Danio rerio: one gene and its partner. The protein of the gene in region 2 binds, or shares a complex with, the protein of the main gene of each other region. Links are inferred from orthologs where the notes say so. Each region holds a gene or a part of one and is shown on either strand. Other genes may lie near its edges.

Region 1 (4,038 bases), on a different chromosome or scaffold from region 2:
AGATAAAAAGAACTAGTTTTGTAGATCCTGTGCCTGGTCTTGATCTTGGGGGAGGTATTGTAAGTGGAAAGTACAGTGTACTGAAGCATTACTCTGGAAGTTGCCTCAATACTGTTTTGTCTGATTGGGATGTGCTACTGTATGAAGACCATCTATTGCGTACTGTCATCCTAAGCCTCCTGAGACATTTCCATTGGCCAGGGAGCTGTGTCAACCTCTCAGAGCCAGTGATAAGGGCTTCTCTCCATTTCCGAATGAGCGGTTTGTTTTTGCCACGAGCACAGAAGCTCTTCAGCAGGCACCCTTCTACAGATGATAAGATGCTCCAGAAGTCAGTGAAAATGCAAACAAAATGTTGTACGGAATTTTTGGCATGATTGGTTAGTGTTGGAGTTATAGTAATCTGTGAACAGTTTGAGTGTCCTCTTCCACAAGGAAATATTTAATTTTGTTCAAGTACTGCAAACGTATTTCATTGTAATGGATACTTTCCAGATTCTTACAGAGGCAGACAGATATTCCGATAACAGCACTATAGTGGCAATAAAAGTAGCTGCTTTCAGTCAATCCAGCAACGTCTTACACCTCATTGCAATTCAATTTCCGTCGCATCAAAGATACGGAGGCACTCTTCAGACGTTTGTCAAAAAGAAACGGTCAATGAACTTAGGTCCCAGCACTCATAGGAAGTCATAGGAAAAACAAATAAACACTAGGCCCAAAATCTGCCCTGGCTCACCCACCCAAACAAAGGAAGGGGCTTCTGCACGTATCAGAGAGATGTTTACAAAGTCCTCATTAAGGAAAAGAAAGCCGATAACGGTGCACACACACACACACACACACACACACACACACTATGAACACTAGAAATGCAGAGCTTCCTAGTTTGCAGATAAGGGACAGAGAGAGAAAGTAGAGAGCAAGAGTGAGAGAGAAAGAGAGAGAGAGGAAAAAACATTTGAAAAGAGATGGCACAGAGGGACATCTCTTTCACGTACTGAAACCACCCTCAAACTTTTCAGACATCAAAAGGTGAGAAGAAGAATAAATGCTCAGAGTTCAGGAATAGAGGCACTTTATTGCAGGCATCAGTGTGAGGCTACATATTGAACCAGAACAGCAAGGACAAGTCTACTATCTTAAGTTTTGCAGTGGAGCGTCAACTAAACTTCTGTCCAGGAAAAGTTGTGTACTGAAATTAAGTGCTTTTGATAGTGGATCTATAGATCTCACCTCCTGCACCTATAGCTAATACACATTTGTCTTGCGTCATGGCTGGTAGCAGAAATCACTTTTGGATTATATTTTCATCTGCCACGTCTGCTTTATTGGCCTTTTTCCTGCTTTTCTGGGGGCCTTTCTGTGTGCAAAGTAGCCCCATCAGCTCCCCGGAGAGGCACCGCACTGCTCCAGGGTTGGATGATGGACATGGAGGCGTTTTGGATCCTTCACTCTTGGAGCAGGACAGTGAGGCGAACATGCAGAGCTTGATGGAGACCCTGAAGGGACAGTTTCTGCAGACTTTCAATCTGACCCGTCCCAGCTCTCCTGCGCATCAAGGGGCCACTCGTGTAGAGCCACCTGAGTATATGCTGGAACTCTACAACCGATTCGCCAATGACCGAACAGCAATGCCTTCGGCAAACATCATACGCAGCTTTAAAAATGAAGGTAACTGCATATTTTCCTATTCAATGAGGGCATTATAATCATTTGTATCGTAGGAATTTGTTATTTTTTTGTAAAAGAAAAAAAGAAAAAAACAACAACTTATTTTTCGACTGTTTATGTGATAAATAATGGTTTCCAAAATAATAATAATAAATGTAACGGTAACACTTTATTTTGATAGTCCATTTGAGTATTAGTAGACTGTCTGCTTAACATTCAACAGATATTTAACTGACTATAAGAAATTTTGCAAGTACAAGTCAACTTACAGTAACCCTAGCCCCATTGTAATAATCTTATAATACTTATAATCCAATGAGATTTAGTTGCAATGTAATTAATTAAATATGCAAGTAATAATATGAAGTAATTTGTGATTACTTGAAAATTCGTGAAAAATGTAGCTGGGAAAGACAAATGTTTCTGCTGAAAGAAAAAAAAAAAAAAAAAAAATATATATATATATATATATATATATATATATATATATATATATATATATATATATATATATATATATATATATAAAGAGTCTTAAAAAGGGCGGTGTGGTGGCACAATCACCACACAGCAAAAAGGGTGCTGATTCAAGACACGGCTGGGTTAGTTGACATTTATGTGTGGAGTTTGCTGCAATAGATGTGCTATTGGTGAATTGGTTAAGCTAAATTGTCTTTATAGTGTATGTGTGTGAATGAGAGTGTATGGGTGTTACCCAGTGATGAGTTGCAGGTGGAAGGGCATCTGCTGCATAAAACAAATGCTGGATAAGCTGGCGGTTCATTCCACTGTGTCAACCACTGATTAATAAAAGGACTAAGCCAAAAAGAAAATGAATGAATGAGTCTTAAAGCATTTTTGGTTGTGCACTGTAGTAAATAATTGCACTGTGATTCATGCATGCTGAATTATGAGCAATTTATAGAGACGATAGTGGCTTTTTTGGTAATTAAAAAGAGGCTTTAAGCGCTTTGTTGTGCAGCAATTTAAATGAAATATTCTTGTGTTGTCTATTACCAACATACTCGCTATCGTTTTTGTTACCTACACCAGGGGTTCCCAAACTTTTCAGTCTGCGACCCCCAAAATAACAATGCTAGTGACTCGCGACCCCCAATATCCTCTGAGGTGGTTATAAATACAGAAACCTTGCATGCAATGACGCAGACACACCAATTAAATTTGTGTCAGTGCTTTAAATGTGCCAGAAAGTATAACCTGATGTTATAAAATCAAAATGCATCTGACGCTATTGCTGCCTTTAATATAATGTAATTACCCCAGGGGTCGCAATCCAATAGAACTAGTAACTATAAGCTACTATAGTAACTATATAGTGTATAGTAACTATAAACTACTATTTTTATTTTCAGTATAGTTATGGATAAAATATGTTAATTCTTATGGTTTTATAACCATAAATAGATTTTTGGAAATCACCAGGCGACCCCCCCCTTCATTGCCCCGCGACCCCTCGGGGGGGTCCCGACCCCCACTTTGAGAACCACTGACCTACACCATAAAGATTGTCTAAATTCACATGTACAAATTGTATACATTGATAAACATAAAACAATTTTATGTTCTACTTTTTCTTTTTACATAAATGTAAATTAGTTTTTATTTTGTAATAATTTTAGACGTTTTTCACACGCATGAAGTTGTGGCAATTAGAATTCCTAACATTTGTCTGTCTTGTTCTCTCCAGACTCCTCCTCATACAGTATGGGACCTAGTGGAGTGAGACGACACCCACTTCTCTTCAACGTATCAATCCCACACCATGAGAGAGTCACCACAGCTGAACTCCGACTGTACACTCTGGTCCAGACTGACCGCAACAAATATGCTGGTGTTGACCGAAAAGTGACCATATATGAGGTCAAACTGCTTGAAACGAACAGCAGCCAGCAAGTAAGAGGAGACGATGTTGATGGAGGAGATCAAGCGAGTAAAACGGAGCTGGTGGAGTTAGCATCTCGACAGGTTTATGGTACAGATAATGCATGGGAATCCTTTGACATGACCGCAGCCGTCCACCTTTGGCGGAAATCAGACTATGGGACCACGCACAAGCTGGAGGTCCACATAGCAAGTTTGGACTCTCAGAGTGTGGCCGAAGGTGAAAATATAAGCAATGCCATAGGGGGAGACATGGACATTGACACCAGCCCTGAGGACAAACACAAACCCTTAATGATTGTGTACTCTGATGACCAGAGCAGAGACCATCGTGGAGCAAAACGAGAGCTGAACGAGCTGATCCAGCACGAGACCAACAGGCCAGGCCTTCAAGACAACCTTGAGCTGGAGATGACGGGCCTCTGGGGTGACCTGGGACAAAAAGATGGCATTGAAGAAGAT
Region 2 (3,514 bases):
ATTGTCCGTAGTGTATGAGTGTGAATAAGTGTGTCTGGAAGTTTCTCAAAAATAGGTTGCAGCTGGAAGGGCATCTGCTGCGTAAAACATGTACTGCATAAGTTGGCGGTTCATTCCGCTGTGGTGACCCTGGTTAATAAAGGGACTAAGCTGAAAAGAAAACGAATGAATGAATATAAAGATGCTAATTTTGTTTTCTCTTTGCAAAGATTTATTATCTTGTTTTTTTTTTTTACATTGCTTGTGACTCTGCTATTTAAAACCAAATAAGAATCCTCTTCCACCAGGTGAAACAGTGCCAGCTTTTCAGTTGGCATTCCAGGCAGAGGTGGGCAATCATCCTACCATAGAGGACATGCAGGCGCTTGTGTCCAGAGAAAAAGAAAGACCCAAATTCCCAGAAGCCTGGAAAGAGAATAGCCTGGTGAGAAATGAGGATGTGAACACACATGCACACACACACACAAACTGAGCTTATCAACACTCCACAGGCTAAAATAGATTTGTTAATGTTGACGTATGTGTGTATGCGCGTCTATTTTTGTGCAGACGGTGCATTCTCTGAAAGAGACGATGGAAGACTGCTGGGATCAGGACGCAGAAGCCCGACTGACAGCTCAGTGTGCGGAGGAGCGACTCGCCGAACTGCTCCTCATCTGGGACAGAGAAAAATCAGCCAGTCCTGCTCTTAACCACAGCACTGCACTGTATAACCACAGGTAATCAATAGCCAGAAGTTAGCATAATCAATAACCAGCAATTCAGCTTCAAGTTTAATTGTATAGCGCTTTTCACAATAATTAATGTTTCAAAGCAGCTTTACAAAAGGACTACATTATTGCATAACAATCAAATTCAGAATAGTTAAGGTTATTTGTTTCCATCAAGTTATTAGTTACTAATAACTTTAACTAATCACTGAACAGTCAATAAATAACCACAGTTGATTAATAACTTGTAATGGCTGACCACCGGCTATACAATTGCAGGTAATCCATAATTAGTAACCACTGATCACTCAATGTGCAACCACAAATATAGTTATCATTTTACAATCACAGTTAATCAATAAATGTTGATTATTGATCAATCACGGTACAGTGAAATGCAATCAGTATGTAGTAATCACTCCACAACTACAGGTAATCAATGTGTAATAACTGATTACTGGACAACACTTAACTATAACCAATAATAAATGACCACTTTGACTAAATACAAAGGTTATTACTAATATTTACTGTACAACAACAGGTAATTGTCAATCTATACTCACTGACAACTCATGGTGCAAACACAAGTAATCAATGACCCATAATAAATGTTCAACCACATGTTATTGACAACCAAAAGTCACTGATCAATAATAGTCTGGTCACAGGTAATTAATTAAAGGTGCAGTACGAAAGTTTGGGTGCCGCAGTGCAGCAGTAGGTAGTGCTCTCGCCTCACAGCAAGAAGGTCACTGGTTCGAACCTCAGCTGGATCAGTTGGCGTTTCTGTGTGGAGTAGGCATGTTCTCCTTGCATTCATCACTTGGCGTCATCACTCTGTCTCCTCTCCACCAATCAGCTAATGTGTGGTGGGCGGTCTGGCGTAATATGGCTAGCGTCGTGACATCTAGGTTGATTCCCGCCAAAAATGTGTAAAGCGCTTTAAGAGTGTTTTCACACCTGCCTTATTTAGTTCGATTGAATCGCACTAGAGTTCGTTTCCCCTTTTGGTACAGTTCATTTGGGCAGGTGAGAATGCAGCAATCGTACTCGAGTGCGCACCAAAAGCGGACCAAATAAGCGTACCGAGACCTGCTTGAAGAGGTGGTCTCGGTACGCTTTCAAACAACGTTTTGGACTAATTCAGCTGCCGTAGGCCGATGCGCTGTGCATTATGGGATATGGAGGAAAAATATTTGTTGACAGCGCTTTACCAACAGAGAGAGAGAGAGAGAGGGGAAAACATTACCTGATGGATCGTTGGTAATATTTCCGCAAGATGACCATGTTGCAGTTTAGCTAAATTAATTTACGCCTCCTCCTGAAGTGACGAGCGACGCATTAAACACTGTTTTCAAGCCGCGGCCGCGCTTCATTTTCGTAATGTATAGTTTGTCTAAAGCAGGGATACAATCAGCCAGCGCAGTCGTCCCTCCAGAGTAAAAGGTTTTGTTTACCTGCGGGAGTTCACTGGCATTTTCCCGCACGTGAATTGTGACCAATCAATAAGCAATTTAGGAAATATGTTCAACAACATCTGGCCAATGAGAGATGTGGATTTTGTCAGATGACTGCATTTTGGTTCGTTTCAACTGGTTCGGATCAAAGCCAGCAGTGTGGTGTAAAAACGACCCAAAGACGGCAGAAAATGCAACAATGTATCATTTATTGCGCTTGGTCCGGACCAAATGAAGCGAACTACAGATGTGAAAGCACCCTAAGTGTCCAGAAAAGTGCTATTTAAATGTAAGAAACTATTATTATTATGATGATATTACATAGTTTGTTGTTGTTTTCTTTTGACAGTATATGTGATATTTTCCATTTGACATGTTTCCTGCCATTTCTTTGATCAATTTTTTTAATTCTTGGTTCCGTGATATTGAAATCCATCTGTTTTAATTAAAAGTCTATACACATCTTCACCTCATTTGATTTAACCAATGCAATATAACATTTGTAGGAACTTCTCTGCTGGAAGGCAGACACCTAAAGTAGGTTCTGTCCTTGAACACTCATCCACAAACACTGAAGACCATGAAGGTGCTGATAAACCACTCCACAATGACACCTCAGTGGAGCAAACCTCAGCAGGAGGAACTAATCCCGCAGAGAAGAAAAAGAACTGCATCAACTATGAGTGGCAGCAGGCCCAATCACGACAGTCTGGCACAGAAAGCTCCTCCGCTACTCCTGTCTCAGAGTCCTGCAATGCCACGCATCCTCCACCAGTGGCCACCAATCTCTGTGCTCAGCTGACACGAGAAGACCTGGAGATACCAAAACTCGACCCGAGCGAAGTCCAGAGGAACATGAGAGAGAGCTCGGACGAGAGCCTTATGGAACATTCACAGAAACAGTTCTGCTCTCCTGAAACGTCAGCCTCCCACGGCCCGTTTTATCCTCTCATGAAGATGGTTTCTGAGGTTTCGGGGTCACAAGGATCCAGTAGGCATGGGGACACCCCTATAACCATCTTACCTAAGCAGCAGAACGTCCCTAAGAGACCCAGTAGCCTCAGTCTCCACGTAAAGCCTGGGAAAACATCCACCTCGACGTCTTCATCGCTGCGGATGAAGTTCGGAAAGCTTGGAAAGTCAAATCTGAAGAAGGTTGAGATGGGTGTGGCTAAAAGCAGTGTGGTGAATGCGACGCATGAAGCCCGGCTGATTACAGTTGCCAACAACGATGCGGCGGCAGCAATGAATAAATATGCAACAGAACCAGCAGCCGAGTCAGCAGGAAGTTCAGCCAACGAGGACTTGACCTTCGGCCTCTTAAACACCAGTCCCGATGAGCAG

Evidence for each region. Proteins that work in one complex are often made in the same cells at the same time.
Region 1: the proteins of bmpr2a (region 2) and bmp10 are in contact, whole or in part, in a crystal structure (PDB 7PPA), measured with the Homo sapiens proteins. The link is inferred for Danio rerio from reciprocal best matches to the Homo sapiens genes BMPR2 and BMP10. Residues at the interface, in NP_001195.2 of Homo sapiens: Asp38, Ser64, Tyr67, Leu69, Lys81, Cys84, Trp85, Ser86, Ile88, Gly89, Asp90, Pro91, Gln92, Glu93, Thr103, Thr104, Pro105, Pro106, Ile108, Tyr113, Phe115; in NP_055297.1 of Homo sapiens: Tyr329, Lys333, Asp338, Ser339, Trp340, Ile342, Ala343, Pro344, Pro345, Gly346, Tyr347, Glu348, Glu395, Pro396, Ile397, Ser398, Ile399, Leu400, Leu402, Val407, Tyr409, Phe411, Ala417.

The regions. Positions count from the first base shown.
Region 1 is NC_133180.1:21,940,958-21,944,995, forward strand, and holds the start of bmp10 (bone morphogenetic protein 10), read left to right. Parts: upstream 1-1,227; 5' UTR 1,228-1,274; coding exon 1,275-1,674; intron 1,675-3,382; coding exon 3,383-4,038. UniProt on the Homo sapiens protein: Required for maintaining the proliferative activity of embryonic cardiomyocytes by preventing premature activation of the negative cell cycle regulator CDKN1C/p57KIP and maintaining the required expression levels of cardiogenic factors such as MEF2C and NKX2-5.
Region 2 is NC_133181.1:13,762,419-13,765,932, reverse strand, and holds part of bmpr2a (bone morphogenetic protein receptor type-2a), read left to right. Parts: intron 1-287; coding exon 288-424; intron 425-549; coding exon 550-719; intron 720-2,676; coding exon 2,677-3,514. UniProt on the Homo sapiens protein: On ligand binding, forms a receptor complex consisting of two type II and two type I transmembrane serine/threonine kinases.